Oryzias latipes: one gene and its partner. The protein of the gene in region 1 interacts with the protein of each later gene in a pairwise test. Links are inferred from orthologs where the notes say so. Each region holds a gene or a part of one and is shown on either strand. Other genes may lie near its edges.

What was found.
Region 2: the proteins of cep63 (region 1) and snrnp70 interact in binary tests that used the Homo sapiens proteins (3 or more experiments, as listed by UniProt). The link is inferred for Oryzias latipes from reciprocal best matches to the Homo sapiens genes CEP63 and SNRNP70.

What each region holds. Positions count from the first base shown.
Region 1 is NC_019862.2:2,679,620-2,683,131, forward strand, and holds part of cep63 (centrosomal protein of 63 kDa), read right to left. Parts: intron 2,490-3,512; coding exon 2,346-2,489; intron 1,912-2,345; coding exon 1,809-1,911; intron 1,726-1,808; coding exon 1,582-1,725; intron 1,428-1,581; coding exon 1,341-1,427; intron 1,249-1,340; coding exon 1,109-1,248; intron 1,046-1,108; coding exon 715-1,045; intron 647-714; coding exon 455-646; 3' UTR 1-454. UniProt on the Homo sapiens protein: Required for normal spindle assembly.
Region 2 is NC_019866.2:24,779,858-24,784,099, forward strand, and holds the start of snrnp70 (U1 small nuclear ribonucleoprotein 70 kDa), read left to right. Parts: upstream 1-1,439; 5' UTR 1,440-1,644; intron 1,645-2,004; 5' UTR 2,005-2,010; coding exon 2,011-2,157; intron 2,158-2,231; coding exon 2,232-2,294; intron 2,295-3,418; coding exon 3,419-3,473; intron 3,474-3,555; coding exon 3,556-3,620; intron 3,621-3,687; coding exon 3,688-3,750; intron 3,751-3,974; coding exon 3,975-4,056; intron 4,057-4,242. UniProt on the Homo sapiens protein: Component of the spliceosomal U1 snRNP, which is essential for recognition of the pre-mRNA 5' splice-site and the subsequent assembly of the spliceosome. SNRNP70 binds to the loop I region of U1-snRNA.

The DNA.
Region 1 (3,512 bases):
AGAAAAGCTGGGGGGCTTCAGTGGGGGGGGTAGCAACAGGAAGGATGGAGGCTCTCCTGAAAGCTCTGATCCATGCAGCATCCTGAGAGCTTTCAGAAGCTAAAGTTTGTTCTTTTCGTGAGCAAAATGCCAGAATCTGCCGTTTGGCTACACCATGTCTTCTCTAAGCCCTTAAAGACTACGAGAACAGTTCTTCAAATCACCATGGAAACCAGCGAACCACGAGGAGCATCCAGGTTCTTTAGATCACATTTAGAAGTTTCTTTTTCTGACAGAAACGTCATGGCTTGCACATTTCTTCCTCCTGAAGAGATGATGTGAGAATGAAATAAACTGAAGCGTTTATGTCATTTTGCTGTTCTGCAGTGAAGATGGCGTTCCTGAAAGCGTTCCCCAGGAGGCCCTCGTGTCGAGACATGATTTCCGCCTCTGTCAGAATGTTGCCCCCCTGTCATTAGACAGGGGTCCGCTCGCTGGACGTCTGCTCCCACTCCGGCCTGACGCCACGGTCCACGTACTTGGACACGGTTCTGTGGTTGATCTCCCTCATTCCCAGGATGTGGGCGTCCAGCCTCTGCAGCAGCTCCTTGGACCTGAAGCTCTCCTCCTCCAGGAAATGTGACAGTGTGCCGTGTGACGAAAGCTCCTGAGGGGCAAAAACCTGTGAGGATCCTAAAAACACCAGAGCTGGTTCAACATTCTGAGAAGTCTCACCTCTGAAGTAGGAGACAGAGTTCTTCTTTCTCTAGATGCTGAGCTTAGACAGTTTCCAGGACTTATGCTTTGCCTGTCTTCAACAAATTCACCAGGACTTGATGACGGGATTGAGATTCTTCTAGTCAGTCCAGCACTGGTGCTGCTGGAGGAGGAGGAGGAGGAGGAGGAGGAAGCAGGAGGCCTGTAGTCTTGGTCCTGGCTGCAGTGCTGCTCTCTGGGGGACATAGATAAAGCATGCAGCTCTTTAAAAAGCCTCTGGATCTCCCCCTCACGGTGAGTGGTGCATTCTGGGGCCTCGGCTCTCACGGCCTGCGTGTCTATCTGAAGCCTGGGAGAACAGGGTTTGTTAGTCTGGAGCTGTGAGTAGACATCATCGACGGCCATCTCCCACCTGGCAGGAGCAGCCAAGCACGTCTGCTCCGAGGCATGATGCCGAGGGTCCGTTTGTTCCGACTGTCCATCCTCCTCTTCAGGCCTGCCTCTGGAGGCCGTGTGCTTCTCCCCCAGTGAAGCTGCTGGGGCCTCTCCCCTCTGAGGATACAGAAGTGCACATTTACGACTGGATCACCGGAGACGCTCCAGAGACGCTGTCCTCTGCGTCGGGGACGCCTGAACCATGCGACCTTTGGTGAAGAAGGCTGCCGTCTCTGCAGCAGGTCACGAAGATGCTGGTTCTCCTTCTGCAGAGTCTCCAGCTGGGTCCAAGTCATCTGACAAACGGATATAGAAAATGTGAGGAGAAACCATCCAATGTCTGAGCAACCCAGACCCAGATCAAGAGAAATGCTTCATGCAAGAAGCAACTTCCTGCTCAGGAACAAACTGAGACGTCATTGCTGCACAGCAGTCAGAGGTCAAGCTCACTCTGAGCTCTGCTCGCTCCCCGCTCAGCGTGGCGATCCTCAGATCACGCTGGTGCAGCTCGCCGGTCATCTTTGCAACCTCCGCCCTCATCCCCTCAACCTCAGCGGCGTGGGTCTGCCTGGCCAGTTCAAGCTCCTCCCTCAGCTGCAGTGGACGACAGTGAGGTAAACAGGCATGACGGCCACAGATGAACAACAAACAGGTTTAGCTTGACTGAGACTTTGGACCTTTTTCATTTCAGCAACTGAAGAGTCAACCTGTGCTTTGAGGCCGGCCACTTCCTGCTCCGTCTCTGAGCGATCAGCTCTGCCTCTGCTCACAGCCTGCAGCCTGCAGGAACAACTCAGATGAATAATGTGAAGAAAACAGCAGCCAGACAACACGTGTCTGATTCCAGACGTCTGCTTCACTGTAAAGACGGTTTGTCAGCAGCTTTGTCCATGCTGGATGTCTGCGGTGCTGAGAGTGAACATCCAGAAGTCAGCAGCGTGGAGGTTTCCATGATGGGCTGCACAAAATCCTCATCTGCTCCAAAAGAATCTGACAGAAACCTCATTTCAACAGCTGGTTTAGCTGCTTCTAGAAAGAGCAAAAATCCACTGGTCTTGGTTTTCTCTCTAAACGGATAACTTCTTCCTGGATCCGGATGTAAAGAGGATTTCACCGGAACTTTTTCCTCATTTCCAGAAGTCTTTGTGTTTTTTGTAGAAACCATCTGCAGTCCAGGTGGACACGGTGGAGTCGGCAGTACTGGCAGCATTTACCTCTCTCTGGTGCGTTTAAGCTCCGCCTTGAGGTGAGCCTCGCAGGCCCGGGAACACTGCAGCTGGACTGCAGACTTCTCCAGATCTCCTCTGAGGTTTTCCACTCCAGCCAGGCCCTGAGCCGACAGGCAGTCCTCCAGAGAGCTGACACACAAAAGCCCAGCAACCGTTACCAACATGGAGCCGTTCTACCGAGTCAGACGACTGTTTCTAGAGAACGCTGTGCACACTTTGAAAAAGAAGTACAACATTTTGACATGTCTGTTTTAAATCCAACTTCTCTTTCATTTGAATATTACATCATTTAGAAGAATGTCAGGAAAACCCAGACGGCTCTGCAATGAGAACAATCACTGAGGAGCAGCTTTTCTTCTTTCCCTTCACTTCATTCATGTTCTGTAAACGTAGATCAGTGATCGTCTGTGATCGCCACCAACCTTCCTGTGGCAGCAGTGATGTCATCAGCACAAGACGAGGAGTTTATTAACAATACAAAACATTTAGGGTGTGTGGAGAAAACAGAACAACTCATGTTATACGCCAGCAAAAGTATCCAGATACAGAAAGAAAGTTTAGTTTTCTGATTCTGCTGACAGTTTTTTTTAACTCCCGATAGTCGGCTGCTAGTCAGCTGCTAGTCGGCTGCTAGTCAGCTGCTAGTCAGCTGCTAGTCAGCTGCTAGTCAGCTGCTAGTCAGCTGCTAGTCAGCTGCTAGTTAGCTGCTAGTTAGCTGCTAGTTAGCCTTCTTTCGCTGCTCATTTTGTTTTGTTCCATCCTTCTCTTTTTTTTCATAGATAAGTGGCATTCCTGCTGCTCCCTTCTGGGTCTGAAACGATCTGCGGTGCATTGTTTACTCGATCAGCTGTTGTTGCCTAGCAACGGCAAAATGTGTCTGGAGATCCCCGTTATTATGATCTGCTTTTTCTCTACAGAGCTATGGTTACAAGAGAATTTCCCCGTTCTGGGATCAGGAACATTCTAAAAAGTTCTTTTCCATTTTAGTCTCATAACTGAGTTTCAGAACACTTATCGATGTATCGATGTTTCGTGACTTCATGTTTACGCCTGTGACCCCGTGACCTACTTTTGACAGAAAAGTCGTATTCAAGCCAGACGTGTTAAACGTAAAACTAAATGTAATACGATTTTTTTGCAAAGTTGGGCACA
Region 2 (4,242 bases), on another chromosome or scaffold:
GAGTCACTCAGTCCAGTTTTCATACAGTCAGTTGTTCATAGGTAGATAGGTTGGTTGGTTGATTGATTGATTTGGTTTGGTTTCTTTCAAGTATTAATTGTAGTCAATACAAGAGAAAAATCACACGGATGTATCAAACTCCTTACAGAGATAATCAACTGCATAGATTCAAACAAACAAACAAACAGAAACAAAGACACACTTAAGACACATTTAAATATAGTGATTATTAACTAAATAGTCAAGTAGAAAGTGATTTAGTGCTAGGAAAAAAAGGAGTTGGAAAAAGCAAATTCATATAATCTCACTCCTATTGAGTTATTTTGTGTGAGAGTTTTGCAGTTTTGGATGATAACGCTCCACCACATGCTGCCAGAATGATCACAACCAGTCTCTAGGCTCATATGGTCTGACCAGCAATGACCCTTGACCTGAACCCCATAGAGCAGGTCTGGGACCAGCTGAAGCAGAGACTCTTTTGTAATAAAATTAAGGGTATTATATTAGTTTAATCTGTGTTCCCCCACACTTCAATACAAAATGTAAAGTACGGTAAAACCAAAGAGCAATATAACACATGCACACTCTGACATGGTAAAATATACTTGGATTTGTTCAAAACAAAAAGGGTCTTGGTTACTTTATTTTTTACATAAAATATGAGATTTCCATGTTCATTTGTCATCCAACATAACCCCTAAAATTTAAATTCAGACACCTGCTCTATATTTATGTTGTCAATGGATAAAGCCACTTCTGTTTTTTCTTTATTACCAAATACCATAAACTTTGTTTTTGTTAATTATAATCAAACCACATTTTAAGTTTCATTTCCTTTTTAACACTTTTAAGTTAGGGTTTTAGATTATCCCTGAACAGAGAAATTTGTCTTCATGTCCAAATAAAACAAACTGCAACAACTTAGAAATACCCCAAACATTTATAATTGAACCTTGTGGAAGTCCACAAATAATATTCATGAGATCAGACTTATTACCTCCAAACTGCACATACTGTATTGTCTGTTTTGTAAATAACTGGTGGGCGATTGCTCTAACCCCATACGCATGCAGTTTAGAAATCGAGATAGAATGATCTATGGTGTCAAATTCCTTCTTTAAATCAATGATAACTTTTAATGTATTTTTCTTTTTGTCAATTGCTGTTGAAATTTCTTCAACTACTTTCATTGTAGCAAAACCTGTAGACCTATTAGAACCAAACCCATAGTGATTCTCACTTAACAAGTTATTTATTTTTTTAACAAAAAAATAAACTTTTAACAATGTCAAAGGAAACTTATATTTATTTCAATAAAATTCAGAGCAAAATGGGAAAAATCACATGGAAATCACATTGTCAATAATAAACTCATTGGACGGCGTCCTGACGTCATCACGTAAGTTACGTCAAAAGACGTACGTTCACGCGGCGGTCCCCCCCGCCATTTTATATTTTCAACAGGCCGAGCAGCCGCAGTACGCAGCCAGCTATCTCCACGTTGTTTTCAGCTCCATTTCCAGCATTTTTATCTTCACGGAGTCTCTTTTTGGCGGTTCTACGTTGAGCCACCGAACCCGCGGACAGTCCCGCTCCTCCTTCAGGTCCATGAACTAAAAGCTGCTGGACTCTGGAGGAGAGAAGGTGAGTGTAAGGGCGCAGTTAGTGGTTAGCTCCATGCTAACGGGAGCGCTACATCCCACGAGCGGAGCAGACGCCTCCGGCTGCCTCCGGACGGCCAAACTCTTAACTTGTACGCAGACCATAACGTGTACTACTGTGGGAGGGGGTTCCTGATGTTCTACTTCTGGATGCATGAAATGCGTTGAACGCGTCCCCCGTCCTGTGGGGAAGTGAACAATAAGCGCGTGAAGCTAGCTAGCTAGTACGGGTATTACGGCTAGCTAGCTAGCTAGCTAGCTGCCCTGACAGCTAGTTTCGCTGCTTCATTGTGTTGCGGCAGATCCGTGTCTGATATCATGCATGTTTTCCTTATCGATCAAGTGAAAGATGACGCAGTTCCTCCCGCCGAACCTGTTGGCCCTGTTCGCCCCCCGGGACCCGATTCCGTTCCTGCCTCAGCTGGAGAAGCTGCCCCACGAGAAGCATCACAACCAGCCGTACAGCGGCATCGCCCCCTTCATCAGACACTTCGAGGTGAGCGTCGCTGTCACGTGCGAGCCTCCGTCCCCCCGATGCCTCTGTCTCACCTTCCTACTGTTTCCCACCAGGATCCTAGAGATGCCCCCCCACCAACCAGAGCCGAGACCCGCGAGGAACGCCTGGAGAGAAAGGTGAGTTTCCTCCCCCCTTTGCACATGTGCTCAAATACAGAACCTGATGGATAAATAAACGGTTTATCTCTGCTTTCATCCAGAAGATTTCATATTTGCGTTTGTTTTGCTTTATGGCAGCTGGCAGTAGCACAGATTCTGTCACATCAACCCAATGAATCATGGGAGATGTAGTAAACTCTGTGACACTGATGCAAATCTCCGGGCTTCATTATTGGATGCACTTTTTACACGGTCTGACACCGGATCCTGCTTGAAGCTACACTTCCACCATTGTTAGCTGGTATTTTGTCAGGGTGAGGAACTGGGGGTGTTTTACAAACTTTTTCCAAAATAAGAGCCATTGGCCTAAGTTGCTGCACAGTAGTGGTGCAGACATTTTTTTTAATCAAAGTGTCTTAAATAGGAAGTAAAAGTCTTCTGTGATCTGTAGTACTCCCAACTGAAACCTGGGCGTATTTCGATGAACGTAGAGCTAATATTCTGGCGATGGAAAATGTTTTTTTTTTTAGAACAAATAGGTGAAATTGAGTAATTTCTCATGGCACACTCAACCATCTCTTTACTATATAAACCTCTAACCTGATCCTGTCTGTGCTGCAGCGTCCACCAGTCGTTACTGTTTGGATCTCTGATTGTGCTGCGTAGATAACGATGGAAGGCATGTATACAGAAAATTAGGATTAAAATTGCATTTGTTAGTATTGTTGTTTGAGAAACTCAACGCCTGGATAGCTCCTTTATCGCTCGCCATTTTTGTTGCACAGATAATGTTATGTTGGGGTTGTAACGTTTCAGTTGAGCGTCTTGAGCCATAAAGGAAATTTATTTGTGAACTTGTGAATTGACTGAAGCAGGAGTTTGGCTGTGAAGCACAGACCTAATGAATGCAGATTCTCAAAGGAGGGGTAGTTGAATTACAGTCCTAACTCCTTCATTCAGCATTTTCTGCCTCGGTGAAAACCTCTCAAGTCTATAGAAATATTATACCAGGCAGGAGCCCAGCACAGGTGCATGCTGGCAGCAGACAAGAAACCAAGTGCGGGATTATGTCAGCTCTGTGCTGATGCTCTGCTGTTGGAGGCTCTGCGGTTGGCCGTCACCATTTTCTTTTCTGTTTCCAGAGGAGAGAGAAGATTGAGAGGCGACAGGGAGAAGTGGAGACAGAACTGAAGCTCTGTGAGTTTGTCACTTTCTTCACGCCGTTCTCCTCAAACGGTGAAAAGCTTTGTGCTCATCCTTCCTGTTTGTTCCATGTCAGGGGACCCCCATAATGACCCCAATGCTCAGGGGGATGCCTTCAAGACTCTGTTTGTGGCACGAGTGGTGAGTATTTGTCTTGGTTCTTCTCACTCCTTGTTCACATCTGGTAATTAAAACCTTTTTGTTTCAGAATTATGATACGACAGAGTCCAAACTTCGCCGTGAGTTTGAAGTCTATGGCCCCATTAAACGGGTAGCTATTGATTATTATTTTTCTGTGTCCAGATTTTCTTCAAAACATGAACCCTTTTGTCTTTACAATGTGAGAAAATTCTCCTGGCTCTTCAAAATACTATAAAAAAAAGTAAAGAGCCGTGCGTGAAGCGTTTTGGCGCCGCTTTGTGCGTGTCGTCGTGCGCTGACTGCATGTCTGCTGCCTCCGCTCTGCCGAGTCTCACCAGGAGTTTTTCTTTTCAGATTTACATCGTCTACAACAAGGGAACAGGGAAGCCCCGCGGCTACGCCTTCATAGAGTATGAGCACGAGCGAGACATGCACTGTGAGTACGGCTGAGGCATCGGCCACCAAAGCCAGTCTGTGTTGGTGTGTGTGGATCAGAGCACTGCTCGTCACTGATGCTTCTGTAAGGAGACCAGCAAACTGAGCTCTGCTCACCAGATCCATGTCTGCTGCTCGTCTGACGTGTGTGTGTGTGTGTGTGGGGGGGGGGGTCTGCTCGATGTGT